Stegostoma tigrinum: one gene and its partners. The protein of the gene in region 4 interacts with the protein of the main gene of each other region in a pairwise test. Links are inferred from orthologs where the notes say so. Each region holds a gene or a part of one and is shown on either strand. Other genes may lie near its edges.

What was found.
Region 1: the proteins of dtx2 (region 4) and rfx6 interact in binary tests that used the Homo sapiens proteins (3 or more experiments, as listed by UniProt). The two-hybrid records come from large-scale screens. The link is inferred for Stegostoma tigrinum from reciprocal best matches to the Homo sapiens genes DTX2 and RFX6.
Region 2: the proteins of dtx2 (region 4) and eif4enif1 interact in binary tests that used the Homo sapiens proteins (3 or more experiments, as listed by UniProt). The two-hybrid records come from large-scale screens. The link is inferred for Stegostoma tigrinum from reciprocal best matches to the Homo sapiens genes DTX2 and EIF4ENIF1.
Region 3: the proteins of dtx2 (region 4) and glyctk interact in binary tests that used the Homo sapiens proteins (3 or more experiments, as listed by UniProt). The two-hybrid records come from large-scale screens. The link is inferred for Stegostoma tigrinum from reciprocal best matches to the Homo sapiens genes DTX2 and GLYCTK.

Annotation. Positions count from the first base shown.
Region 1 is NC_081357.1:60,760,846-60,768,611, forward strand, and holds the start of rfx6 (DNA-binding protein RFX6), read left to right. Parts: upstream 1-4,761; 5' UTR 4,762-5,062; coding exon 5,063-5,291; intron 5,292-5,990; coding exon 5,991-6,147; intron 6,148-6,471; coding exon 6,472-6,595; intron 6,596-6,972; coding exon 6,973-7,034; intron 7,035-7,445; coding exon 7,446-7,523; intron 7,524-7,766. UniProt on the Homo sapiens protein: Transcription factor required to direct islet cell differentiation during endocrine pancreas development. Specifically required for the differentiation of 4 of the 5 islet cell types and for the production of insulin.
Region 2 is NC_081379.1:46,712,346-46,719,536, forward strand, and holds the start of eif4enif1 (eukaryotic translation initiation factor 4E transporter), read left to right. Parts: upstream 1-4,167; 5' UTR 4,168-4,605; intron 4,606-5,090; 5' UTR 5,091-5,094; coding exon 5,095-5,214; intron 5,215-7,191. UniProt on the Homo sapiens protein: EIF4E-binding protein that regulates translation and stability of mRNAs in processing bodies (P-bodies). Plays a key role in P-bodies to coordinate the storage of translationally inactive mRNAs in the cytoplasm and prevent their degradation.
Region 3 is NC_081364.1:12,379,396-12,386,227, reverse strand, and holds the start of glyctk (glycerate kinase), read left to right. Parts: upstream 1-3,809; 5' UTR 3,810-4,221; coding exon of another isoform or gene 4,222-4,382; exon of another isoform or gene 4,383-4,625; intron 4,626-5,325; exon of another isoform or gene 5,326-5,742; intron 5,743-6,832. Other genes in the region: wdr82 (WD repeat-containing protein 82), read right to left, coding at 2,092-2,189, 4,222-4,382.
Region 4 is NC_081380.1:9,060,346-9,067,242, forward strand, and holds the start of dtx2 (probable E3 ubiquitin-protein ligase DTX2), read left to right. Parts: upstream 1-3,891; 5' UTR 3,892-4,013; coding exon 4,014-4,353; intron 4,354-6,897. UniProt on the Homo sapiens protein: Regulator of Notch signaling, a signaling pathway involved in cell-cell communications that regulates a broad spectrum of cell-fate determinations.

The DNA of each region.
Region 1 (7,766 bases), on a different chromosome or scaffold from region 4:
ATTAACAACATTGATCAGAAGCCAATCAATTTTTTTTCAGTTTGCCTGCACTCCTTCTGTAACATTAAGAGTGTGGCAGACCCTTGAGGTAGCCCTGTGGTAGGTGTGGGTGGGAGGATCACAATGGGGTAATCACTTCCCCCCAAACCCCCATTTCCCTGGCCACTGCTGCGGCCACAACCACCACTGGCCCACACTGCCCATCTCCCAGGGAGGAGGGGCTTGGAGGTGGGATGGTTCCCCATCTGCAACAGTGGTCTAGCCACTGCGGCTATTTCAATTTTAACTATTTCTGAAATGCTGAGAGGAAACTTCTCCATTACTGTAACAGCAGGCTGCAGTTCCTTCAATGCCACTGCGCCGTGATCACCCATTGACCCCCAGTTGGAAAGACAGTGAGTCGTCTAGATCTGAACTGGCCAGTCCTGCAAAATCATCTGTTGGATTGCTGCTCCTCAAATATTGTGCAGGGACATTACTTTATAACAGGCACCTTAGTGAAGCTAACATGCAAAAAGGGGAAATCACTTGATTCTGTCAGGCAGTTTTCTTCCATATCAGTGATGAGCACCATTATTTTGTCTCAGACCAAAAATTCCAGACCAATATCTCTTGACATGGCTCTGTGCTAAATTTTGATGATGACCAGTGAAGACAAATGTCATTTGGAGTTGTAGCATGCTTACTAGTTTGTTTTGGACCACAAAGACATGTTGTGCTTACGAAGCTAAATGAAATTAGTCCAGAAGTTCACTTGTTATGTTTTGAATTAAGCAATCTGTAGTTAATATCATCTTAACAAATTTGGACACATACATGAGGATTATGTGCTGAAGCTCATTTAAAATGTCTCTTCCTCTTATTCCATATAACCTGTAACATGGCAGAAAGCACCAGTATAGGTGGAGGGGTGACTGAGGAGAGACTCCTGGCCCTCACAGGAGAAGACCAGGACCACTCCAATGGGGATGCAGAAACATCCATGTCTGACCAACTGAGCAAAGACTACTTCTCATTACATTTTAATTCTTACAGCAAGTATCATTTATCACTCACCATGAGTTCTTCTGTCTCTTTGAAGGCACCATATCTATGGCCGCACCAGAGAAATGGCTTTCAATGCCAACAACACCTTCTTGTTGTCGGACGAAGAGAATTCAGAGGAAGCATCCTGTAACACCTAACAGCTCAAAAACTGACATCTCAGTGGAAGCATTGCATTAAGAAAGTTTGGAAGCACAACTTGGTGAGCACTTCACAGCAACAACTCAGCAAGTGCCTGAGAACAAGCTGCTGGCACCTAGAGGCCTGCCCGAAATCAGGTAACCACTCAGCTCCAGGAGAGCTGCCTGTCATGTCACCAATCGGGGATGTTTTCTAAATGCACTGAGAGGAAAAGAGGAGGCAGACAGTGAGACCGAAGGTTGCAGGAGTGTAGTTACACCATGGGAACCCAGCTGCTTCAAGCATATCATCATCTGGTTGCCTCAATGAACAGGTCGGTGGCTGGCATGAAGACCGGGACCAGGACCCTCAGGGTCTGTTGGATACACACATACACCTGTACTTCTTCAACCCAACCATTGGTCCTCATGACTTAGGGCATGGTGGCAGTGCCAGGGATCCTGGTGTGCACTCCAGGTCCCCATTCCTTACATGATGAAAGGGCAGTGCCAGGAGGCATCTAGCTAGAGGAGGAATCACACACACAACTTCCTGTCAGCGCACTCCAGAGATAGCCAGGCCTCCATGCTGTCTGCCTCCCAACTGACCCTTACAAATTGAAGCCATGGAAGACCTAGTTGCCTCCAGCAAGAAGGCCCTCGACATATCTGGGCCATCCAGAACAAACACCTCTAGTGTTGCTTGACCCAACCTCTGAGGCCAATGGTTTCCACTGCAAGCAAGCTGCCTCCACCCCAGAACCAGAGATAACATTAAGATGTAGTGGGAGGGAGAGGGAAAGAAACAAAAAAAAAATGCTTTTGAATATACTTTGGTGGTATAGGTGTGAAGGTTATTGGTTTTGCCTTACATCTATTTGTTTGAACCTCTGTGTGGTCCTGACTATAACTGCACCAGCATGGTGCCTAACATTCTGTCCCTACGGAACAAACTATGGCTTGAAGTCTGTGTTGAGACAATGCTGCAGTCTAGAAACTAGATGATCAAGGTGTATATAGGGCAGTGAGTTATGATGGCACCTTACCGTCAAACATCCCCAATCTTTCTCTGGCCACTATGCGGAAGTGTTGGTGTGAATGAAGTGGCCACCAATGTGTAGGGCAGTGAGGTGTAAAGCAAAGAGGGATCCAATGCATTAGTTTTGCCTGAGATTATTGGGCATTCAGGTCTATGTCCTGGACAGTACATGACTCTGTGTATGATGTTCTTGCCATTTAATGGGCTTGCAACCTTTCCCTCACAAGTTGAGACATTTACCCTGACTACTCTGAGTACAGTCTCAACCGTCTTCTTTCACATTGCATCATTCTGGTTCACAGCAAAGTGAAAGATGGCAGATATGCTCTTCAGCCAACAGCTTCTAACCTCTGCCTCTGTGAGTCAGGGAGGTCCTATTCATGATTGCCCTTCCCATGAGCTCCTTAGGCTAGGGATCTCCCCAGATCCCCATCAAACCCATTTCTGTGAACTTGTGCTTAAACACTTTACATCATCTCCTTCCCCACTGCAGCCCCTTTCATATGGGGACACCATACCAAGTGTGGTCATACACTACCTTCTGCTTGATGCTAGGGTCCTCCTGACCATGGATGAATATCTCTCCTGCAGTATCTCATTCCCATCCACACTTTACCATATCCACCCTTGATATATTCAGTTGCCCCTTCCCCCAAGCCGTCAGGTTGACAGCCCAGGGCAAGACAAACAAATAGCAGTTCACTTAACAGCTTAAAACAGAAAAACTATGGACTCCGCAACTTCATTGACCACATTGATGAATGCTAGTTGAGAATAGGTTAAGTTTTGTTTTCTTTGCTCAGATTCAGTTATCTTTTTGTTGATGTAGTTAACAGTTCGGAAGGAAGTATTACTTTCTCAATTCCCCCACATGTTCCTGCATCTCTCTCCCATTCACTGCTTCCTTCCACCAATCCATTTCCCTGCCCTTCAGCCCCTTCTGCCACCTTATCAATGGCAATCATTACTTTTTTGACTAATCACACTCATCAGTTTCTAACAGTTAGTTTGGAACAAGGTGAAACGTGAGGCAAAGAAAAAAAATCCAGACATTTTAGCGAATCATAGGTCCAAAATCACTGTTCTTTTCACACACAGTACAAGTGCCACGGTCTGGATTTTCAACCCCAATACGGGCTAGAAATCAGTAGCGGAAGGGAAATAAACTTTGCCCATTAACCTACATTCTGCTTCCCTGCCTCCAAATCCACAGTAGAACATGGCAATTAATGTAATGACATTGATTCAATGTGAATGACAGTTAAGTGCCAAGTAGCAATGCATATGATTCTTTTTATTCTTGCTGGCTTGGCCAGCATTTATTGCTTACTCCTAAGTGCCTTGGAGAAAATTGTGGTGAGCCACTTTCTTGAACCATTGACCCAGCAACAATAAAGAAATTGTTGAGTTTGCTCCAACATTGAGAAAGTTCAGGACAGAAATGGCAAAGTTTATGGACATCAATGAAATCAATGGATAAAGAAATAATGCAGGAAAATGGCATGGAGAAAATACCTGCCTTGATCTAGAATGGCAGAGCAAACACCGCAGCAGAACAGCCTTCTTCTGTGCCTAAACTGCAGACCACGTAGATGCCAAGATCCTGTTAACAACAGGAATCATGCTAGATTCATTGAATTAAGCCCTTGACTAGAAACAGGTCGGAATGAAGATTGAGTTCAGAGATTCTGCTCATGATTAGCACCAACAATTATAAAAGAGTTAAAGATCCAAAAGATGACAAAATAATCTATTTACAGAATAAAAATTAAGATTGAAGATGGAGAGATGAAAAACTAGAGGAGTAAAGAAAAGCAATATTTTGGACTAAAGCAGGTTTCAGACATCTAAGTTGTATTTGGAAAAAAAAAGCAGTGACACATCATAGAGCCAGATGGATAGGAGGGACCTGGAATAAACAAGATGAAAAGTAGATACAAAATCGATTAGCAAGATAGGAAATGAATTCTAAGTATGTTACTTGTTCTATAATTTACCATCTGTGATAATCTTGGGTCAGAACACTGTTCCTATGAAAGACAACATTATTTTACCCTTTAACAATGTTTCTGTGGAAGTTTTAAAAGTCAGCAATTTGTTGACTTTTTCTAAGCCACTCTTTATCCTTGTACTAAGGGCTCAGCTATCTACAGCCAGATATAAAACCGTATGATAAACACAAATCTGAAAGGCACAATCAGAAATGATTGTTCCCTTTAGTTAATCATTAATTTTGGGGAGCGGGGGATGGTGGTGGGGGGGGGCGGAGAGAGAAGTGGAGTCGGGGGTGGGAGGGCGCGTTGGATCTGCTCTCCACATTTCTTTTAAATGGTAAACAAGCGTGATTCATCACCAGGACGTAACTGTGGGCTGACTTAACAAGGGGTTGTGTTGGGTACCTTCACAGTAAGAGCTCTTAGGACCAAATTCACCCATCTGCTAGTGACAGCTGACTTCGTTTTTGATAACTGTGGTGTACAAACAAATAGGGCGGGCTCGGAAAAGTTTAAATAGCTGTTGTAAGTGTGTACCCTGGTTTATAGATTTGTTAACCTTGGATCAAAAAAAAATCGGGAATGCTGTACGACGTCTGAAGAGCTTTCGTACAGCCATTGATTGCAGTGATGTCAAACTGTTGAGGCTGCGAGTAGGATCAAAACCCGAAGTGCCTATCCAATTGGAAAGACTGAGAATCAGATTAAGGGGTTTGTCATCCGATACTGTGAGGACCCATCTCTCCGCAGACTGACCATTCACCGACTTTTCAAAAAGAATTATGATTTGATCCCAGTGGTTCCAGTAGTTTGAAGGGGAAGGGTGAAAGGCACACTGACAGCCCTTACTCGCTCCGGCATTCGCCATGAAGATGCCCATGAAGAGAGTCCCTGAGTCTCAGGGTTCATCTGTGGTTCACCTGCAGCCCCCGCACAAGCTAGTGGCTGGCATTCAGGACGAACCCTATATGACTCTGATCGGCAAACACTTGGCTTCGCTTGCGGAAAATTGCGGCGGCGGCGAGGAACTAGAGAAGAACTCATTGCCCGGTTGTGAAGAGAGGGAAATAGGGACAGATCTGGGCATTAAATCAGGTGGGATTCTGTCGCTTGCGACAAAGATTTGCGCTGTTGTCTACACACTTAAGGAACCTGTTGGGAACAGGGATTATTCAGCCATTATCAGAGGTCAAGTGTGCAGGGTCTCTAAAGTCGCGGTCCGTTTTAATTGAGTTTCCATCCCACGATCATTATTAAATTTAGCAGAGTAACAAATAATAAGAGGAAGACTAAAGCCTCAATGTGCAGTTGCGCTAATTTTTAGAATAATCAAAATATTGTCGGACCAATTAGATGGATTCCTTGAAGTGGGTTAACATAATAATTCACTCGAATGGTACAATTTAAATAATGCTGTGCAGTTCCGATAAAATAATCAAAAAAGTGCTAAATTTTAACCTTCGGGTTTGAGATTTTGAAGAATTATACATCATGAAGATGCAGAATCTCAGTCTGTGACCCCAATTTCTTCTGTTTGAATAGAACCAATATTTATCCATCTTTTAGGGTTTTCTTTTTGAAAAGATTTGGAATGCTAACACAAAAGGCAGTAGAGGCGTTGGGGGTGAAGGGGAACTGCGTATTGGCTAATCCTGAAAACTGTTGTCCTTTACAAAATTGTAGCGTCGAAGTCTGAAACGCTGATGGACTCGGGGACTCGACATCATAAACGATTAAAGAAATAAATGTTGGTAGAACCGAAGGTCCGCCTCAAAATCTCATTCTTTCCCCCAGAATCAGAAAACTGCAACGAAATCGCATCCTCTGAAGAAGAAGAAGGCCATGTTCCTGAAAGGAAAACATGCCTAAGCGAGGAACAACAATGTCAGAAAAAAACTATAACTCAGATCATCAAGGACAAGAAAAAGCAGACACAACTCACGCTGCAGTGGTAAGGACATGACGTGGAATCGAGATGAATCTAACACCACAACATTATTGTAGTGAATACAGATGGTAATAACTACAGATGCTGGAGTCAGAGATGACACAGTGTGGAGCTGGAGGACCCTCTCTTAGATCTGCTGCTGTAACAAAATCCCTTTTGCACGAAAACAAGTCCACACTGAATGTTTAATCCGATATATTGTTTTAAAATTTGCTAAAGACAAGCTGAGGCCCATGATTTCGGTTCACGTTTTAGTCAAGGGTCAGATTTGTCCCAATGTGTAGATAATGTTCCTAATTAATGTATCTTGCTCATCTCCATTGTCAGGTTGGAAGAAAACTATATCGTGTGTGACGGAGTCTGTCTGCCCCGGTGTATTCTCTATGCCCACTATTTAGATTTTTGTAGGAAAGAGAAGCTGGAACCAGCCTGCGCTGCCACTTTTGGAAAGGTGAGGCGTGCTTAATCACTGAGAACCCTGTCAGCAAAGAATGAAGGGAATGCTCCCTTTTCAAGAGATTTTTTATTAGCAGCTATATCCATAACTAAACTTGTCCTATACTATCACACTCACCTCATCTTCCAGTTTGATCCCTTATTGGATAATTTGAATTAATATATTAACAATTTTAATATGCTTAATATCATAGAATCATGCAACGGTAAAATCATACAACTTAGACCCGCTCACTACTTTTGTAAGTGCTGATTGCAATGAAGATACGCAGGCAATGTTCCCAAGCATTCGAAAAGACATCATACGAATAAACGCAGATTTTCTAGTATATATTGTATGTTCAAAAATAACCTTTTAGATTTTTCTTTCAGACAATACGCCAGAAGTTTCCTCTTCTCACCACCAGAAGACTTGGGACAAGAGGACACTCAAAGTAAGCCAGTTAGATATCACTGTTTTGTGAGTTCTAGTCGTCATTGTATCAACTTTCTTTACTATACAAACTTTGGACTTGTCAAACTTGGAAACATTCGGGCAAAGTATCATCTGATTTCTTAGCAGCAATTTTCTGGAGCTTATTTTACATCAGATGACATCAGACTGTTGATCTCGTTACCAGCTTCTGTCAAAATGAACTTCCTTTAAATCCTGATAATTGTAGGACAAACCTTTGTTACCTGTCCCAGTTCCTTACATGCCAATCCAACATGTTGTGAAAATGTGTGCATTCACGCAGGTGAAAAGGATTTCGTGTAAGCACTTGATTTTGATGGATATTGTGGTAGCTTGTTTCCTTATTGGGTTAAAGCAAAATTAACTTCAAAATCATGGCACTGTTTTGCAGATATCACTATTATGGAATTGGCATCAAAGAGAGCAGTGCATACTACCATTCAGTCTACTCGGGTAAAGGCTTGACAAGGTAAATTTATTCTATGTATGTCATAATAACATCCTTTTTCCTCCTTGGCTGAAAATGATTATTAGTGTAATCAGGAGCTGGCTTTATTAGTCAGCTGTGCCCTAACTTAAATTATATTTGCTGAAGAGAAAGCTAACAGGATTAGTGCAATATCTGTGACATCAAACAAAGTGCAATCTGTTTCGGAGCTGCAATAAACCTATTCCCAGTTATTGGTGGAACATTCTGGACACAAATAACGCA
Region 2 (7,191 bases), on a different chromosome or scaffold from region 4:
TAATGAAAGAAAGGTTGAAAGGCAAAGAGTTTTAGCAAATAATTTCAGACCTTAGGGCCTAGGCAAATGAAAGTATGAATACCAATGGTGGAGTGTTTAAAATTAAGGATCTCCAAAATTAGAGGAGGTTGGATCTCAAAACATCATGGAGCTGGAAGAAACATAAGATATAGGGAAGGATTAGGCCATGGAGCGATTTGAAAACAAAAATGATCATTTTGAAATTGCAGCATTGCTTACCTGGAAGCCAATGCATGTCAGTAAGTACAACAATCATAGAGTCATTTACAATGCAAAAGGGATTCTCTGAATCCATGCTGACTTCCTGTGGACCAATTCAATGTTAATTCTGTTCCCTCTCTTGATCCCTGTCGCTGTGCAAGTTGTTTTATCCTTCAAGTGTCTATTCACTTTCCTGCTGGTGTTTCTGTTTGTGGGCAATGAGTTCCAGATCATTACTGCTTGCTGAGTTAAAGTGTTCCTCTTCACATCTCTGACATATCTTTTGACCAAAACCTTCAATCTGTCTTCCCTTTCATCCTTGTATTATCAAAAATAGTCACAGTTTTCTGTTGCTTCCCTTATCCAAACTTGTCATAATCTTGCACATTATTATCAAATCTCCCCATAATCTCTGCTCAAAGGAGACCCCAGTTTTTCCAATCCAAGTTTGTAACTAAAATCTCTCATCCCTGGAACCATTCTGGTAAATCTCCTCTGCACCATGGGTCCTCATGCTCCTCCTAAAATGTGTTGGCCAAGTCAATGGGATTTGGTGCAAATTGGCGTAATGTTTGATTTGTAGGAAATGGAAGAATAGAATAGAATAGTGAAGACCTAATTAACAAAAACTTGAATGAGGATTTCAATATCAGGTGCACTGGTGCAGGTCAGAATTGGGTGACAGTCTCAGGAGTGAGGATGAGATCATATCAGGATCAGATATGACACAAAGCTTGTGAACAGTTTAATTCAGCCTCAGACAGTGACCAGGTAGAGCAGGGAATTGGTGACTCAAAAATGAAGTTTGTAATGGCTTCATTGTTCTGTATATTTAGTTCAGAGAAATTTCTGCTCATCAGGCCCCAGATATTGACAAGGAGCCTGACAATTTTGAGGCACTGTAAGAGTTGAGAGAGGTGTGGTGAGGCAGAGTTGGGTGTTATCAGCCCATACATGGAATCCGTTGGTGTATTTTTAAATGGTGCCACCAAAGTGTACAGATGAGAAATAAGAGCTGGTAGGGCTAGGCCTTGAGAGACACCACAAACAATCTATCTGGAGGGGTTTATGAATCGGAAGGATTTGGAGGGGAATGGCTTAAATGCTGGCAAATGAGACTAGGTCATTTTGGAATGTCTGGTTGATGCAAACGAGTTAGACCAAAGAGCCTGTTTCCGTGTTGTATGACTCTGTGACAATGTGGCCGGATTGAGAAGAGAAATCAATGATGGTAATTGTCTGACTGCAACTGGAGAGACAAGAGAAACTAGGTGAGTCCAGCCCTACCGAGCTGGCCAGTAGTGTTGGTGAGTTTGGCATGGTGAACCATGTCAAAGTCCATATAGATTCAAAACCAGAGAAGGAATAGTTTATCCTGGTCACAGTCACATGTTGTTATTTGTGACTTTGACCGCCACTGATTTGGCCACCACATTTTAGGAGGAGCATGAGGACCCATGATGAGGTGCAGAGTAGATTTAACAGAATGGTTCCAGGGATGAGAGATTTAAGTTTCAAACCTGGGTTTGGAAAAGCTGGTGTTCTCCTTTGAGCTGTATCAATACTGCGATTGGAGCATACATAGATGTGCTAACTCTTCTGAAGTGATTGTGAGAGATGTGGTTTCTCATTCATATTCAACTTTACCCACAATCTCACAGGAGAACTGAAATCTCAGGATTTTTAACAGTACTCTTACATATATGCACTTAATCTGAGACTGTTCATGCACCTCTTAAGGCCCATGTGCTTTGCTTGAGGAGGAAACTGGAAATGGGAGCTTGCGAAACATGTGCTTTGGGTCTTAAGCGATGACCTAATTGCTGATATGTACGCGTGAGTTGCAAGATGACATATGGTACAGTCCTGATGTTTGTTCTTAAACTGGCGAGAAATAATTTATTAAATTATGAGTAAAATGCTGCAGATGATGAAAATGTGATACAAAAACAGAGAATGCTAGAGAAACTCAACAGGTTTTGCAGCATCTTTGGAGAGTTAATGTTTCAAGTATGTCATGACTCTTCTTCAGAATTGTTATAGTGAGACAAGCCTGATATTTGGGCATATCTGTTTTCTCAAGGAGTCCTAAATAAGGCATTAGGCTCCCCAATAGTATACATAGGAGAAATATTCATCTTAGGCAGCTCTGTGAATATCTGAAAAGTCAGCTGACTCAATTTTCAAAAATTTGGCAGGAAATGTTGCTGTCTACTTTTTTAACCTTTGGGACCATGTGCTAGTTCAAGTCTGCCACTGCTTCCAAGCACTAAATAGAATAGTGATACATTTTTTAATAAGAAGCTCTGAAATGTTGAGCTTAAATAAGCCATGAACAACTTGTTTAGCTCTGTACCACACCTCTTCACTTGTAAGAGTTTGTTTTTTGATTTATGCAATGATGACTGTTCCAATAAATAGAAAAATCTTATTGGAGTTATTCAAACAGTGAAATCTGGAAAAGATAGACATGTGTCTTACGGGCAGAGAGGTTGGAATCACATTTGTCCCATATAACTAATGAGGATCTAATCTTCTTTTCTTTGGCAGTTCCTCAGGGTCCAGGACAACTTCCTTCCATTTGAGGCGGGGAAGGGGGATTTCTTTGGTGGTTGCATAATTCACTCCTGGAGCCACAGACTCTGCCATAGGAGGGGAAGGTGACATTTGATGAGGCAGGAGGGTGGGTTGTTCTGATTTTGTGAACTCCTTCCCCTCCTTGTGCTTAACCTCCATGTGCTCCACTTGGTGATACTGGAAGTGGTGTCATTTTTGTGGATGCTTCTTCCTAAGTTTGTGCATTCTATGGCAAGCAATTCTCATGCATTGTTGGGAATATTACATTTGTTTGGGTAGGTGGTTTCAGAGTATCCTTGTAGCATTTCATTTACCCTCCTGGTGATCACTTACCACTGCGGAGCTCAGACTCCTGTTTAGGGAGTCCTGAGTTGGGCCCACCCACAGCAGCTAGTCATCCATGACTCTGGCCTGGGAGAGGATGCTTGTGTTGGTATACGTATTCTGCCAATGGATTTCCAGGATTTTGTAAAGGCAGCAGTGGTGATAACTCTCCAATGAATTGAGATATCTACTGTACATGCTGTATATTTCTGCTGCATACAGGAGGGTGGGAGCCTGGCTTCAATGTATAGCATGAGCTTGGCAATGGATTTGCTGGACTTTCTGTTCCTCAAGTTGCAATGGTTTATTGGAGTCAATGTTTGATTTCATTGTCAATGTCTGTTTGCACCAAGAGGAAGCTTCCAAGGTATGGGAAATGATCCACATTGTCCAGAGGCTTGCTGTGCATTTTTATGTATGCCAGACTAGGGACTCTTTGGGAAAGCTGATTTGCTGACATGTTGTGATCTCCACTCCACTTTCCTCTATGTGGTCCAGAGTTGTTGACTCCATTTACAAAAATCTATTCAGTACTACCTTGACTAAAATCAGTGACACAGTAATTTGTGGGGAAAGAAATTCCACAGGGAGGGGGGTCAGTGGTTGAGGAGAAAGAAGCATTAACAATATCGTCTGATATTGGCCATGACATGTGAGATGAATTAAATTTAATCATCCAGGATGATGTGATTGCTCTGAACGCTCCATTTGGCTGCCCTACTCAATAGACAGCCTCTGACAGCACTCAGCCGCCCACTTCCGGTATCACTGTCAATCAGACGAAAAAGTGAATGGGATTAACCCAATGACGTTGTGGTCTTGCCCCGCCTCCTCCGCTCTGATTGGTTCTATTGTCTGAAATATAGTCGTCAATCCTAGTTGCTTGTGGGCCCTTTCCCTTTTGAGGACGAAGAGGGGGTCTTAACAAAATTATTAAAAGTGTAATCGAAAGCGCTTTTTTTTTTAAAAAAAGGAAAGTGCGGGTCTTGTGGCTTTTTTTTGTGTGTTTGTTTTTTTCTGTTTTGGTTGTGGGGACAGGCAGGCGGTTGGTCTGTACATCCGGGTGCGCGAAGCGGCTGTTGCCGGGCTTCGGGACACAGGCCGGTTCCGTCGGCTCCGGCTCAGGCTAGAGCGGGAGAGGCGGCAAGCGAGGGGCCGAGTGTCCGTAACCCCCTCCCCTTTCCTCCATACTCACTTCCCCCTCCCGGGGAAGAAGCCTACCCTTTGCCTCCTGTCTTCGGGAGTCAGTCTTTAGGGTGGCGCCGGGGTCTGACCAAACCCCCAACCCACCCAAAAAAACCCCTCCAGTGCCCGGAGCGGGCGGGCGGGCCGTTCTCCCTCCTCGCGCACTCTCTCCGCTCGGCCCGGACCTGGTGACCGGCAGGGCAGCCGGACGTCTTTTTTTCATCCCCACTCCTTCTCACCCGGGCAAACTTCCTCAGTCCGAGGCCTGAACTGTCAGCCTCGGAATCTCTCTGTCAGGTGTGTGTCTGTATGGTTTATCATGCAAAACATCGACTAGCCTCGGTCTTTGTACCAGGTGAAGCAAACTGTGTGTTTTTTTTTGTCCCGTCCTGTTTATATCACGTTTTGTTTATGGGTTCCTGCGACGTCAAATGAAATAGCTGGCCATTTGTTCCTAGTGTGCCTTGGCTGTGGTGAAGTCGGGATAATTTTACCTTTTTCGCAAGCCGTCTTGTTTCAAAACTGAAAAATTTTCAAAGGGAGAACGGGTTGCAGTTGCGTTCTCCCAGTGGGTGAGGAGACAAACCTGCGCAATTGCTACTTGGATGTCTGTGCTGTACGATAGTGTAACACTACTAGCGCAACAGTAGTTGATGGAATGGAAATTAAATTTCTTTTGTAGCTTTTAACTGCGTTCCGAACTGACTTGGGTTCTTTTTTTAAAGTGCAGTAGCTTTAAATGTTCGAATTGACTGAGTTTGAAGCTTTGTTTTCGTTTGAAGGGACATGTTCACAAAGCCCTCCGTGGCAGCCATGGATAAAAAAGAATGGATTGAAGAAAATGGAGAGCCATTAGTTAATCTACCAAAAATCTGTGTTATGAAGAAACCGTATCGATATTCAAAGGTATGGATTACGTGGTGATAGCTAGGGTTAATATTTAAAATGCATTTCATGGAACTGATGTGGTTGACATCTTAAACTTGTTTTGGATCTTACAGCTTGCAAGTATTTATTTTTGTTTTAGTAATGGCTATACTTGTCAAGTTGATGGATCATGATTAATAGATAGAACAAATTCTGTTCAAGAATTTGTCTTGATGACTGTGTCCAGCTGTAGCAAAATTGGAAGATTCTGTTTAACTTGGTGCAGCTGAGTGGACACAAGTCAATAGCAATTGACCAAAGTTTTGAGGTATGACTAAAAACCATTTTGTGGTGTGATGTCATGTAACAGCAGTCGCTGTTTTAATGAACTGTGAAAGTATGGGTAGCGTGACCCACTCAACCTCTATTTTCCAAGTATCAAGCATCATCTGCCTTTAACTTTCTGCTTAACATCTGAGTACTGCTGGCTACACTTTGAGAAATACCAAGCTCCAACTGCCCCTTGAAGCTGGTGGTAAACTGCCTTTTTTTTTTTGTAGCTCAAGTGCTGTTAGGCAAGTTTATTTTAGGATTTGATCTAAAGTATTAAAACAGTACAACACAAAACTGTACGAGAGTCCCTTCAACCCATGATCATGTGTGAAACATGACACCAAATTAAACTAATCCCTTCTGTCTGCTGTTGGTCCATATGCCTTTTATTCCTTGCATATTCATGTCCTTGTCTGAAAGTCCTTTTTTAAATGCATCTATCTGCCTCCTCCTCCACCCTGGCAGTGTTCCAGACTTGTACTTTTTAAAAAAAATTTGCTCCTGCTGTCTCCACTGAACTCCCCACTCCTACCCTAAATGCATGCCCCCTAGTATTAGACATTTCAACTCTATCCATGCGTCACAATCTTATAGATTTGTATCAGGTCTCCCCTTTGTTTTCCTTTTTGAGTAGCAGAGACTGAGTTTTTCTAGCCACTCTAAAAACCTCTTGTCCAGGCAGCATCTTGGTAAACCACCTCTGCATTCTCTCCAAAGCCCCTGCATCTTTCCTGTAACGTGGTGACCAGAATTGACTGCAATACTGTGGCCTAATCAACATCTTAAAAGCTGTAACATGAAATTCTGATTCTCCTACACAATTCCCCACAATGAAGTCAAGCATGCTTATGCCACCTTTACCATCCTATCTACTTGGCTAATTGCAGGGAGCTATGGGCTTGAACCCACAAGATCCTCCTGTACATCAAAGGTGTTAAGAGTCATGCCACCAGCTATGTTTCCTTAACACTTGATCTCCCAAAGTGTAGCACCTTACTTACCCAGATTAAACGCCATCTGCCATTTCTCTGCCCATATCCTGTTGTCCTTTGACAAACTTCTACACCATCTCTAACGCCACCGATCTTTATATCAGCTGCAAACTTGCTAACCTATCCATCTACACTTTCATCCAATTCACTTATATAAATCTCAGACAGCGGAGGTCCCAGTGCAGATTCTCTGTGGAACACCACTAGTCATGGATCTCCAGCCTGGAAGATGCTACCAATACCCTCTTGCTTCTATAGGCCAGCCACTTCTGAATCCATGTGGCCAAGTCACCGTGGATCCCATGCAACTTAATCCTCTAGATGAGCCTACCATGAGGGATCTTTGTTGAAAGCCTTATTAAAATCCATGTAAACAACATCCACTGAATACCCTCAATCGCCTTTGTGGCCATCTCAAAAGCCAATCATCTTAGTAAGACATGACCTGCACAAAGCTAATGCTAACTGGCCCTAATGAGGCCATGCTTTTTCCAAATGTGCATAAATCCTGTCCCTAAGAGTTCTCTCTAATACTTTCCAACCACCGTGAGACTATTGGCCTTTAGTTCCCTGGATTATCTCTAGTTCCCTCCTTGAACAGAGGACCAACACAAGCCACTCACTTAGTACTTTGGGGCCTTTCCAGTGGCTGGTGAGGATACAAAGATCTTGGTCAAGGCCCTAGTAATCT
Region 3 (6,832 bases), on a different chromosome or scaffold from region 4:
GAGACCCTTGTCATTCATCTTATCTATGTCCCTCATGATTTTATAAACTCCAGGATTAATACAGTTGATCTTCACTTAGTACAAGTTTATTCACCTTGTGTTAGGTGCAACCTGTGAAGGGAGCTCCTCTAGATTCCTACTAAATTCTTTTTTACTAAGATTCATTAATGCTATGACAAGTTAATTACTACGTCAACATCAGCTACATTACAACCACTGGAAATTCAGCTCTTTTCTCTGCTAGGCGTCAGACTCAAATGAGATCTACAGCTGAGTCGAACCCAAACTAAGAAACAGTGCATGTTATGGGTGAGTAAGCACTGCCTGACAACACTGATGATGACAGTACTCTCATCAACAAAGTGATGGATAAGTTATTGGGGCCACAATTAACTTGATTACATTTGTTATGTTTTATGGGGACTGGACATACCAAACAAACTGGAAAACTGCCAGTTAGTAGGCACTCTTCAATTACAGATTTCTCTGAAATAACCTGTAGAATGTATTCAAATTGCAATCACAAGTATGTAAAATTTTACACTTAATTATCCAATAAAAGATTGCACATTTACATTATAATATATTACACCAATTTCAATAATCAACACTAACGCTGTCAAGGACAGTTAGACATGAGATTCTTCCACTCAAAGACACACCATGATGCTGCAGTACTATAAACTGATGAAACGTGAACACTTAGTTATTTATAATAATACATGTGACTGATTTGTGCAAGTATTTTCCACTGCAATCATGTCCCTACAGATCACATTATTCTCTGAAGAGTTAAACTACAGAACAGAATGAGGTAAAGGAATCAACATCATTCACTTGCCAAGCACCCCCAAGATGCTTCAGCTTCAACAAGTCAATTCCCATTTCTCACATGATTGGGTTTAGTAACTCATCCGAAGCAGTACTTAGTGTTTCATTAGAACCCAGTGAAACAAAAATACGCACAATATCAGATTAAGGACATAATGACATTTAAATTTATCACAAGTTTTCTCTTTAAAAACTGGGCATCGATAACACTTGAAATCAAAAAGGGTAACATCAGCATAAGCAAGTTACACACAGAATAGCAGCACACTACACCATCTCTTTTGGCTCCTAACAATTTTTCATACTTTAACCATTTAATTTCAAAGCTACTGTAACAAAATTTTTGTTCAAAAGCTGTCATAATAAAGTGCGTGCATGCTTGTATTTCCACTCTGTACTGAGGAAGCCAAGCCTAACTAGTGAGGCATTGAACACAACCGGCTGCCATACCCTCCATGCTGGAGGCCTCGATCAAAGGGCCAAAAAAGGAAGCAAAGAATCAGACCACACTGAGTCAACATCATCCTTGTGAAGTGTCCCTGTGTACAAGAAGGAAAATAGCTAATTTGACGAGGTTCCATTGTGATGATCACAATTCTCTCCTTTAAAACGTATCAGATAGTTTGGTGGCATGTCTCATGTAAATAACACCCACTTCAATGAGGTAGTAAGGTATTGGTTACTTTCCTTTCAAATAGTATCAACACTTTGCATAGAAAACAACTGCCCCAAAAATTACATTCTTCCTCTCTATTTCTTGCTGGTTTATTCCCCCTCAAAAGTTAATTAATTCGACACATCTTCTAATCTACAAATTTCAACTTCCAGATCAATTGAAATATTAAAATCAAATTCACAGTTATTTTGATTTGGAAATAATAAAAAGACTGACTTGCTTTCAAAACCAAACTGCAAATGCAAATACACATTGGTCCCCCAGCAATTTGACAGGCAGGTCTAAAGTTTTAGAAAAATTATAAAGGCAGCCAAAACAATGGCAAACTGAGAACAAAGGATCAAATATGTTTTAAGAGGTGGCGAGACTTCCAAACAAACAAAATAAAAAGTTACAAACTATTGTTGTGTTAAACTGGCAAAACATTAATTCTATAAAAACTGTTAATGTACTGGTAACAGATAAATACAAACTTTACACCACAACCTGATTCTGCAGAGATGCAAAGGATGTCCCAGATTTGGAGAAGTTCACAGCAAGAGAAACTAAACAGCTGGAGATCTGTACAACACAAGCTAACTTACCATCGATTTTGTTAGAGCTGTAAACCACTGTATTCGCTGCATGTGTGTATCTGATCAGGTCTACCCCATACTTCTTACTGTACAGTGTCCTCTTTGGTCTGACAGGTAAGAAAGAAATTACATTAAGTGATGTTAAGTTTTATCAGAAAAGATGTCTAATTTAACCTCAACACACTGTTGCAGAGAAGTTCACATAACTGTTCTTTCCAAATTTTACTGTTGTCTAGTTTCAAGGCCTCCCTTATGTAGTCATGCCCAAATATCAGAAAAGGCAACAAAATCATCGATGCATGCTTCTGTATGTAACTGATTAACTAACTGACATATAATGCTGTCCTTTGTTAAAACAGTCAAGTATTTTCTTGACCACAAGAAAATGGACCTGCTCAGGCATGTTTTTGACATACCTCTGACCCAGAATCAGAAACACTACGGCTTGGTTACAAGACCATCCATAAAAAGGAAATAAACTAGGTCAACTAAAGGACACCTTATGACTTACTGACTCATTAGCTGACCTGATTTTCAGTAACAGCGACACCAACAAAAATCACAAACCACATGCATCATTACTGTGAAGAGAAAACAAGGAAATTGCAAACCTCTTACATCATACTCAGTGCCAACCACACAGCTCAACAGGTACTGAAGCAGTTATGACATCCTCTACCTTAGTCGGAGACGATCAAACAATTTACTACTTTAAAATGTAACTCAGATATCCTGATAACATTCAGAGCTCTCTATCAGAATGACACTTATTTTATAAACTGAATTACTCAAATTAATATAAGGCTACACATCAATTTTACAGAATTAGCTGCGACAGGCTGGAAATCAGCATGGAGGGACAATAAAGAACAACAATAACATACTCAACTGAGGCCACCTGTAATAATGGATTAACCTGCCAACACTTACTGTTGAGATTTACATACTGAAGTCTAGTGACCACAAAACTCTGTCACAGGAAAAACACAATGCAAAGAATACAAGGCAAAAACAAATACAAGTCAATTTTCTTCAAAAAGACTTAAACTACATCTCTCATGAAAAACAGCATCTAGGGCACTAAAATATAAATAAATAGTTCCCCTTTATGTGGTAACCATTCTACAATCTTGTCCCTTCCATTTCTCAGATCTACTATGTATATTTTCTTCAAAACTTGAATGGCTATGCTTTCAGCTATTTAGGGCCTAAATTCTGAAATTCATTATTGATGCGTCTTTGTTCTCCATCAAGTTACAATTCTAAAATAATATATCTAAACAGGATGAATAAAATTATGTAACACTTTTGTAGGATTTGAATCTAGACGTTTGGGCCCAGACACAGTGGCACTACACCACACCACACTATACTAGCCCATATTCTCTTGCAGTTTGCTAAACAACTTGTTCTGACACACAATGGCACATCTCCAGGACAGACAGGACTTAATCCAGACATATCAAAAGTTCGCGGATAGAAATCGAATCCAGAGCTCTAACTCAGAGACATGAGCGCTACACATTCCACCACAAGACCTAAACTGTGCACAGATTTTGGGTCACACTAAGTGCCAGCTTTACGGATTTATTACATGGATTTATAAAAGTCTGGTTAACTTTACTGAATTACACGGTAAACAGATGCAAGGTGTCTGCCTCAACTGTAGCATGTTGAGCGCATGTGCTCTGCATCGAGGTAGGCTACTAACATCGTGATTTGTTTGGCTACGATTTCCACCTTGAATGGCTGTTATCTGCAACATTTGGGAAAGAAATCCTACAGATGCACTCTTCGCTACGAAGCATATCGAAGAGACATTATTAGTGATCACCACAGACGACGGTCTGAACCCAGAACATCGTGTTGCAGATCACTATTTCCCGCCTCCAACGTGAGACTGCCCTCTTCCTAAATCCAGTTAATAATCCAAGGCAACTGATTACTTTCCAGCTTCTCCTCGCCGCAGGCTGGCTCTGCAATCAGCCCCCAACTCTCTCTCTCCTGACCGCGCAACGCAACCCGAGCTCAGGGTCTTTTGTGAAAATCAAGGCCGGGATTTCTAGGCCTCCCAGAGAGGGGAGGGTCTTTTTGATCTGAAATGAGAGCGGGGGGGGGGGGGGCGGTGAAAGTACTCACTTGCCCTCCTGGCAGTCGTAAAGAACGATGGAGTCGTCATCGCTGCTGGAGATGAGCGTCTCTCCGTTGGGTGAGAAATCGAAGCAGTTGATCTTGTCTGTGTTCTCTCGGAATACCTTAGCCACTCGGAAGCTGCGCAGCACATTATCCGTCAGCTTCATCTCGTTCTTCTTTGCTCGGTGGTGCAGGGAGGGGCTTACAGATGGGAGGAATAGGACGGTTTCTTTAAAAAAAAGCTGCGAGATGCGCCTTTAATTTTTTCTTTTGAGCATCTGAGGGGAGAGAGTTTTGTGTATTTTTTTCTTTCTCCGATATTTAAACACGACTAAAATGGCGGCGCACGACCCAGACTCAAAAGCGACAGCCCTTCACCCTAACCGCGGGGCATTGTGGATACCAAGCCGCGGTTGGCGCGAACGCGCCGCTACCCATAATACCTAATCCCCCGCCCTCGGTCGTTATGGAGATGATGTGTCAACGCCCCCGTCGTCTCCATGACAACCCGGCGGCGGAGGCGGTGTCTCATGACCGTTGCCATCTTCTTCAAAACCCACCCACTGGCAAATGACCATGACGTCAGCCAACATTTTGGTCTGCGGCATGATATTACCCATAAAGCCCAGTCCTGGTTGTCAGGGAGATACGGCTCTACTCTTGCAGCGCATGTGCGTTCAAGGTGCTGGAGTTGAGTCGGTCGCTGTTTTGCTAAAGGGCGGTTCCACTGGATGGCCAGTCTGTGATGATTCTCTTTTTCCATTTTGCACACTTTCCTCCCTTTTGTTATTTTAACGCTTTATTTTAGGATTCCTTTCATTAGAGCTTTTGTTCATCATTTGCATCCCCCTCATGTCACCATTTGACCAACTGAAATCAGCTTGCCAACCAATCCTTCCCCTATCGTATGAACATCATTTGACGTGTGGCATTTTTGCATTTGTCTTGATGAGTGCACATGATAAAAAGCTTCAGCTACATGTGTCTCTTTCAAGCAATATGCATGCTCTCACCTGCAATGTGACTTATTTGTTTTGATTCTCCACTTGAACACTGACCTCAGTTTCCTACATTGGCCCATTTCTAACATTATCTTGTTTGGAGATCTCATGACTTTTCTATGAAGTTCAAACGTGACGTTGAGGAACAGCTCATCTTTCATCAAGTTACATTACAGCCTTCAGGATTTAGCACTGAGTTCATCAATTTCAGATTATAAACTTAACCGCATTATTTTAAATGACATCCATAAGCGATGATTCTGTATTTTTCCATTTAGAGCTTTTCTAGTTACACATTTTGCATCTTTTATCAGGTCAAAGCCATTGTCACCCCTTTTACCTGCGTCACAATCTCTTTTGTTATTTAAACTCTCCTTGCTACCATATCAAATATGAATTTTGTTCTTTGCTCACCTTATAATTTTTCTTTATTTGTTCTTACTAAGTGGATATCTCTGGTAAGCATTTGTTGCCATCTCTAATTACCGTTGAATGGAATGGTTTCATTGATAATTTCAGAGGACAGGTAAGATTGAACCACATTGCAGTTTGTCTAGAATCACAATTAGACCTGACCAGATAAGACCATGATTTAGTGAGATACAGGAACAGAATTGGGTTATTCAGCCCATTGTGTCGGCTCCACCATTCATTCATGGCTGGTATGTTTCTCAAACCCATTCTTCTGCCATTTCCCTTTAACCTTTGATCTACTTACAAATCAAGAACCAATGTCTACTTGTCTCAAATCTCTGTCTCAATAACTTGGCCTCCACAGCCTCCTGTGTCAACGAGTTCCGTAGATTCTCCACCCTCTGGCTGAAGAAATTCCTCCACAATTCAGCTCTAAAGAATCACCCCTTCACTCTGAGGCTGTGTCATTGGGTCCTCGACTCTACTGCCATTGGAAATATCTTCTCCACATCCACACCATCCAGCCCCCTCAGTGTTCTGCAAGCTTCAATCAGATTCAAATCTCATTCCTCTAAATTCCATTGAGTACAGACCCAGAGTTCTCAAACTCTCATCAAATGACAAGCTGTTCATTCCTGGAATCATTCTAGTAAATATCCCCTAGACTTCATCCAAGATTAGCACATCCTTAGATTTGGGACTCAAAACTGCTTCCAAATGTGGTCTGGTCAGAGCCTTATTTCGCCTCAGCAGTACATCTCTGCATTTGTATTCTAGTCCTCTCGAACTGAATGCTGCCATTGCATTTGCCTTTCTAACTACCAAAATGAACTTGTATGTTAACCTTAAGAGAATTCTGAATACGGACTCCTAAGTCCCTTACTGCTTCAAATTTCCCCATTTAGAAAATGGTCTGTGCCTCTATTGGTCCTACCAAAATATATAACCTAACACTTTCCCACATTGCATTCCATCTGCCACTTCTTTGTCCACTCTGCTAGCCTAAGTCTTTCTGCAGCCTCCCTGCTTCTGTAACACTACCTGTCCCTGTCTTTGTGTTATCTACAGACTTAGCAACAATGCCCTCAGTTCCTTAATGCATATCAGTAATGTATAATATGAATAGTGTGATCCCAACACTGATGCTTGCAGTATTCCACTAGTCTTTGACCGCCATCCTGGAGAAGACACCTTTTTTTCTC
Region 4 (6,897 bases):
GCGGGCACAATCACCAGGGATTTCAGTTGGCGGTTGGGAAATAAATTATCCTAAATTATATCATTAACTTTATTAATAATTAAAATGTAAACTATGAATGTTAATTATATAATTAATGTTTATGTTTGACATGTTATACTTTGTTTATATTTTACAATTAATGTATATTTATTACTGTGTTAATACTATTAATCCTAATGGTGGGTTACTACAACTAATATACACATCAAATATTGTAGGTGACGCTGGACAACTGATCAAGGATTCTCAGATATTGGGGAATTAGTCCTTCAACCTTCTGATGTGACATTTCATCCCTGTCCTCTTTCAACAATAGAGGTTCCCTGTGAGAGGCTTCAACACATCAGTGAGCAACACAAGGCACTTTTATGAGTGTCCCGCAAACTGTCACATCGTACTCTCATCAGGTAGCAAGTACAAAATAAAGCTGAGATAACAAAGTGTGAAGCTGGATGAACACAGCAGGCCAAGCAGCATCTCAGGAGCACAAAAGCTGACGTTTTGGGCCTAGACTCTCTGATGAAGGGCCTAGGCCCGAAATGTCAGCTTTTGTGCTCCTGAGATGCTGCTTGGCCTGCTGTGTTCATCCAGCTTCACACTTTATTATCTTGGATTCTCCAGCATCTGCAGTTCCCATTATCACAAAATAAAGCTGTTTGCTTGTAGTTGTGAGCTATCACCTCTAGATGTCTCTGCTGAATTATATTGCTTGAAGTCAATATTTATTTAACTTTGTTTAAGATAAGTTATTAAGAATCATTGAATCCCTACAATGTGGGGACAGGCCCTTCAGCCCAACAAGTCCACGCCAACCCTCAGAGCATTCCACCCAGACCCATACTCTCTATAGCCCACCTAACCTACACATCCCTGAACACTGTGGTCAATTTAGATTAGATTCCCTACAGTGTGGAAACAGGCCCTTTGGCCTAACAAGTCCACACCGCCCCTTGAAACATCCCACCCAGACCCATCCCCCTATAACCCACGCACCCCTAAACACTACGGGCAATTTAGTATGGCCAATCCACCTAGCCTGCACATCTTTGTACTGTGGGAGGAAACCGGAGCACCCGGAAGAAACCCACGCAGACACGGGGAGAGCGTGCAAACTCCACACAGACAGTCACTCGAGGCTGGAATCGAACCTGGGTCCCTGGCGCTGTGAGGCTGCAGTGCTAGCCACTGAGCCACCGTGCCACCCATAAAATTACAGGTATTCTTTCTGTATCGTTTTGAAGTCATTCTCTGTCTTTCCCATTCACCTGTCTTTACTACTGGACATTTCTTTGATTTCATCTGGTCACTATCCCCTTTGTCTCTGCCAGTTCCTTGCCAAAACCATTACTTTCCAGATCACCAATCTTGTAGCCAGCTCCTGGCCATCACAGCAAACCACTGGGGTATAGTAAGTTTGATAATGAAATATTGAGTAATTAGGTTTATTTGCTTTCTATTGCACAAATGGTCTCAACATGAAACTCAAACAGAATGTTATCCCTTGAGGGAGGGGGAACATAGAAAAGATAATTCTAGAACTGTTTTTATTCACTCATGGGACATAGTTTTGGTCATTACTCACCACCCAAGAACTGAGTGGCTTGCCAGGCCATTTTAGAGGGGAGTTAAGAGTCAACCATATTGCTGTGAGTCTGGAACCACATGTAGGCCAGACCAGGTGAGGATGGCAGATTTCCTTCCCTGGAGATCATTAGTGAGCCAGACAAATTTTTCTGACAATCAGCAATGGCTTCATGGTGATTATTACATCTGTAATTCTAGTATTTTTTTAAATGAATTCATATTCCTCCATCTGCTGTGGTGGGATTTGAACCCAGGTCCCCAGAACATTAGCTAAGTTTCTGGAATAATAGTCTAGTATAATTATACCAAGCCATCACTTCCCTGTTTAGGCCTATTCCTTTCACTGTAATTTTATTTTGCACACTGATTTTTAAAAATAATTACACAAATTCTAAAAGAACTGCACTGTACAGAGTTATTTAGGTCCACTTGACATGTCAAAATACTTTATAGCCAAATTATGCTGTAATACATTTGCAGGGCAGATGGAATTTGAACCCAAACCATCTGATTCACAGATAGTGACACTAACACCACAACACAGGACCCTCATACTTTTGTTGGTAAATGTGACATCAAAATGCACGCAGAAAGATCCCAAATTGTACAATGAGATGAATAAAAATTATTTTTTGAGATAAAGCTGCTATTTGAGAAGTAAATGTTATATAAAGCATTAAAACTTTCTTATGTACATCTCATGCTGCGGAATCTCAACCTGCCTGAGTGGGCTAAAAAGGATGTAAGTTTAAACCAGCCATGACTCAAACTGTAACAATTTCCTCATTGACTCAGAAGTTGTGGGTCTAAATTTCACTCTGAAAATCGTAATCTGAATTGACACATCAAGCATAGTACTGTGAGGCTTTTTCCCCCAATTAGTCAGATTTTAAATTGTCGCCTTATCATCTCAAGTAAAAGTTCCCATTGTCCCATGGAAAGAACAGGAATGTTCTCTCTGTGTTCTGACTTTTCTTTCCTTTCAACATCCTTAACAATAGAGATCATTATTATGATACTTCTGTTTGTGGGAACCTGGTGTGTGGAAACGGCTGTACATTTCCTACATTATCAAAGTGACTGCTTAAAAGATCCTTTATTCACTGTAAACCATTTGGAATGTTGTGGTCATTGACAAGTTTGCAAAGGTAAATCTTAAGAGATCCAGCTAAAAGACCACAGTAGTTCTGAAGTATGGTACCATAAATAGAAGCAGAGACACGTATTTTTTAAAAAGACACTGAATTAGTGTAAGGATCTGAAATGCATATGGCTGGAATAATTAGATAATACAGCTGCTTAAGTGAACGTAGCACCACTTAAGAAAAATAAGGTGGTGATTTTGAAAAAAACTGCACAGAATACAATTAAATGAAACACTAGTCAATTTCGAAGGTGGATTTACCTTTTTTTAAATCCCAGATGTTTCTTTGTACCACAATGACGCTATATTGATTTAATATCGGATTTAAAAGAAATACCCCTGCAGATTTATAACTCGTCTAATTCTCATCATCGTTTCATAAGTTTTTGGGAGAGAAATAAATGTATTTGCACCTATTGACTGGATTTACCAGGATGTTACTACTACCCCTTGTACCAGTCTGTGCTGTCTTCGTGAACGCAGCATTCATTCCAAATGATAATTTGCCTTAGAAATAATCTTCCGGACACGAATTTTCCCATCAGCCCTGTACAATTATTCTATTGTGCTCTAGCATGACCCCGAATTGAATGTGCGTCTGCGAAACCAGCGTTGACAGGAGCATGAAATAAAGTAGACAAATGGGAGCAGCGGTTCGCTTATTCATTCCTAAACGTGCCAAGTGGATTATGCACTCAAATAAAATCAAAATACCCGGATTCTGGAGATTTTGAAATAAAAACAGTGTTGGAGAAACTCTGGTTTTGGAAGGAGAAACAAAGTTAACGTTTCGCGTTTAGTATGACTGTTGGGAGTTTTATAATTCTCCAGCACTGTGTTTTACAATGATTATGCATTTTGTTTTTACACGTGGGTATTGCTGAAACCTTGGTGATGTTTATAATTACAGAGTTCACTTTATGTGGCCTGTGTAATTAAGTCTCCCCCGCCAGATATACACTATCATTCCGATAAAAGTTTATTACCAAGTTTCATTTCTCGACTCGCACCTGACACCAGCCGTCAAGAGTGGGCGCTCGCTGGAGCGGGGTCGCATGGGATTTGTTGTTCACAGCTAGTGAAACAGCAGCTAGGCTTCCGGCGCTGTTGGCCGGAAAGGACTACAGTTCCCAGAAGGCAGCGCTGGCGTTGACACCCTGGAGACGAGGAAAACAGTGAGAGGGAGGAGTTTGAATCGGAAAGTTCTCGGTGTTTGTTGTTGTAGCCGATACAAACTCGTAAATCCACTTTAGAGAGGACGAGGATGGCAAGTCAGGGCGTCGGAAATGGCGGGGTAGCTGCTGGAGGAGGGGGCCTCGGTGCCAGTGGCTCGGCTTTCTCGGTCACCCCTTTCTCTGTGTCGGGCCCAGGAGCTGGCCTGGGTCCGCTGGTCTCCGTGTGGGAGTGGGAAGACGAGGCGGGTCGTTGGAGGCCCTACAGCAGCCGGGTGAGCGAGCACATAGAGCGCAACCTCCAGCATTTGCAGGGAGCGGCTGCGGCGACAGCTAAAGGAATCAACAGCATCTCCCTGGGCCAGGCCGAGCCCAGGTTGGCTCCCTACATCATCGATATCCCCACACTCACCCAGTTCCGACAAGACACTGGTAAGACTAGCCCCTCGCTCTCAAAAGTGTCAGCAAGATTTAATCACATACTGATTATTTACAATCTTCAGCTTCACTTTTGGTGTTGCTATCAGTGATTCATTCAGTCGTCCTAAATGTTTGCTCCAGGTGCAGATTTATTTGTTAAAATGTTTGCATTTCTTCTGTAAATTGCTTTGCCGATTTAAGCCCGAGGTTTTTTTGACTAAGAAACAGTGTTTTCAAAAACTAATATCACCGAAAAGAAATCAAACGTTAGCCAGGTGTAGAGCTGGATGAACACAGCAGGCCAAGCAACCCACCTATTAATCTCATGCCGCCCCCTTGACCTGCCTGTCCTCCCTGGACTGACCTATTCCGCCCCTACCTCCCCACCTACACCCACCTTTAACTGGCTCCATTCCCGCCTCTTTGATCGGTCTCTCTCCTCTTCCTCTATCCATCTATCCGCCTCCCCCTCTCTCTCCCTATTTATTTCAAAACTCCCGTTCCCTCCCTCATTTCTGAAGAAGGGTCTAGGCCCGAAACGTCAACCTTCCTGATGCTGCTTGGCCTGCTGTGTTCATCTAGCTCTACACCTTGTTATCTAAGATTCTCTTGCATCTGCACTTCCTACTCTCTCTCAAATATTAGCCATACTATATTAAGGTTAAAAGATTTTTCTGCAGCACTACAGTTTGTTTAGGCTACTAAAACTAACATAGGTAATTGTTAATATTTAACTGTGAGACTAATCATTTCAATACCTTGGTAATAGTTGCTATTGTAATTAGGGTATATATTTGTCAGATTCCCCCTCTCTCTCTATTTCAAGGGGAGATGGTAAGGTACTAGTAACCCAGAAGCCCAGGCTTTGGCTCCAGGGAAATGGATTCCAATTCCATGACAGCAATGGGAATTTAAATTCACTTAAGTAATTCAAAAACTGATTATGCCAATAAGACAAATCTCGATTATTTTAAAAACCTAAGTAGTTTGTTAATTGCTTTTTGTAAAGAAGCCTGCCACCTTTACTTGACCCAGCCTGCGTGTGACTCCATATCAACAGCGGTGTGGTTTATTCTTAACTGCCCTGTGAAATGGCCTAGCAAGCCACTCAGTTCAAGGATGACAAGGGATGGGCACCAAATGCTGACTTTGTTTTTAATGAGCTCATTGACAAAGATAGTTGGAACTTTATCTTTGATATCTTCCCATAATTGCAACTGTGGCTCAGGGAAATTGGGGTCTTAGCACTGACTTTAAGTTTTGATGTTCTGCGTGTTGTGGAAATGTGCTAACTTACTGTAGTTTGGAATGATTCATTTTTCAGGTTTTTTCAAGTCTGAAAAGAAGCAAGACAAATGTATGCTTTCTCAAGTCAAAAATAAGATTCCATGTTTCATTTGTGATTTTAGAGCTAGACTTTGCAAAGTTAACGTGAGAAATGAGTCAAACACATGAAGTAAAGATGAGCTTTCACAAAGTTGTCAGTGGCTCCTCCACATTGGGACTGTTGATTGTTCATGCATGACGAGAAAACTGAAGGTGTTTATGACCTTAAAGCTGGCTGTCAAGAAAGTTTAATGCCCCCTCAGACATCATTGTTATGTTGAAATTGCAGTTTTTGGTCTTCAATTTTAGAAACTTTCTACAGCTTCATCTTGATATTGAAATCTGGCAGGAAAGAATCTATTTGGCTTGTCTATTGAAACAGGAGAGAAAAAAGGAATCAGTTTTGCAGAGCATTATGCAAACAGGCTTTCTTTGGGTGGATGAAAAGAGAGCAAATAAAGTTACTTTAGGATTTTGACTTCTATTTTAAACTGAAATACAATCTGGACCTGAACACTTTGGATTTATTGACTTTTTTTAACATGAGCTGCCATGTATTTTGTTAAATTCTAGTTGTGTTGGAGGCTTTTTCCATGTGTTGGAGTTTTTGCCCATGAGTTTGATTAACAAGACCAGTAATTTGACCGTAACAGTACATTCAGTTAATGTTAAAGGATTTCTTTAACACTTGAGACCTGTCTTGCATTAGATTGCAAGAATGTTAATTTTTGTAGTAACTTTCATATCACATAAATCCCAAAGTTCTTTGCATTACTTTTCGTACTTAAATGTTTTTGCCAAACACAACAGACAAACAAAAAATAGAAATTGCTGGAGAATCTCAGTGATCTGGCAGCATCCATGAAGAGAAAATGTGAACATTTTAAGCCCATTGACCCTTCTGCAGGCCTTGACTCATCATTTTATTGTAGTAAAATCCCAAAAACAAAAATTAGATGGCCTACTAATTTTGCTGGTAGCGAAGGATAAATATTGTCTAGGGTTCCAGGCATATTTCCCTGTTGAAGTTGGTTGGCTCGCCGAGCTAGTTTGTTGTTCCGCAGGCGTTTCGTTACCATGCAGTGCAGCCTCAGATGAAGTGTCGATGTGTTTTCCCACCTGGTTTTTAAACTCTGGAGTCCTTTGAGCTGGATTGTCTCACTTGCAGTTTTCCTTCGAGGTGGAGTGCATATGGGGTCGAGTTCTATGTATTTACTAATGGCTTTCTTT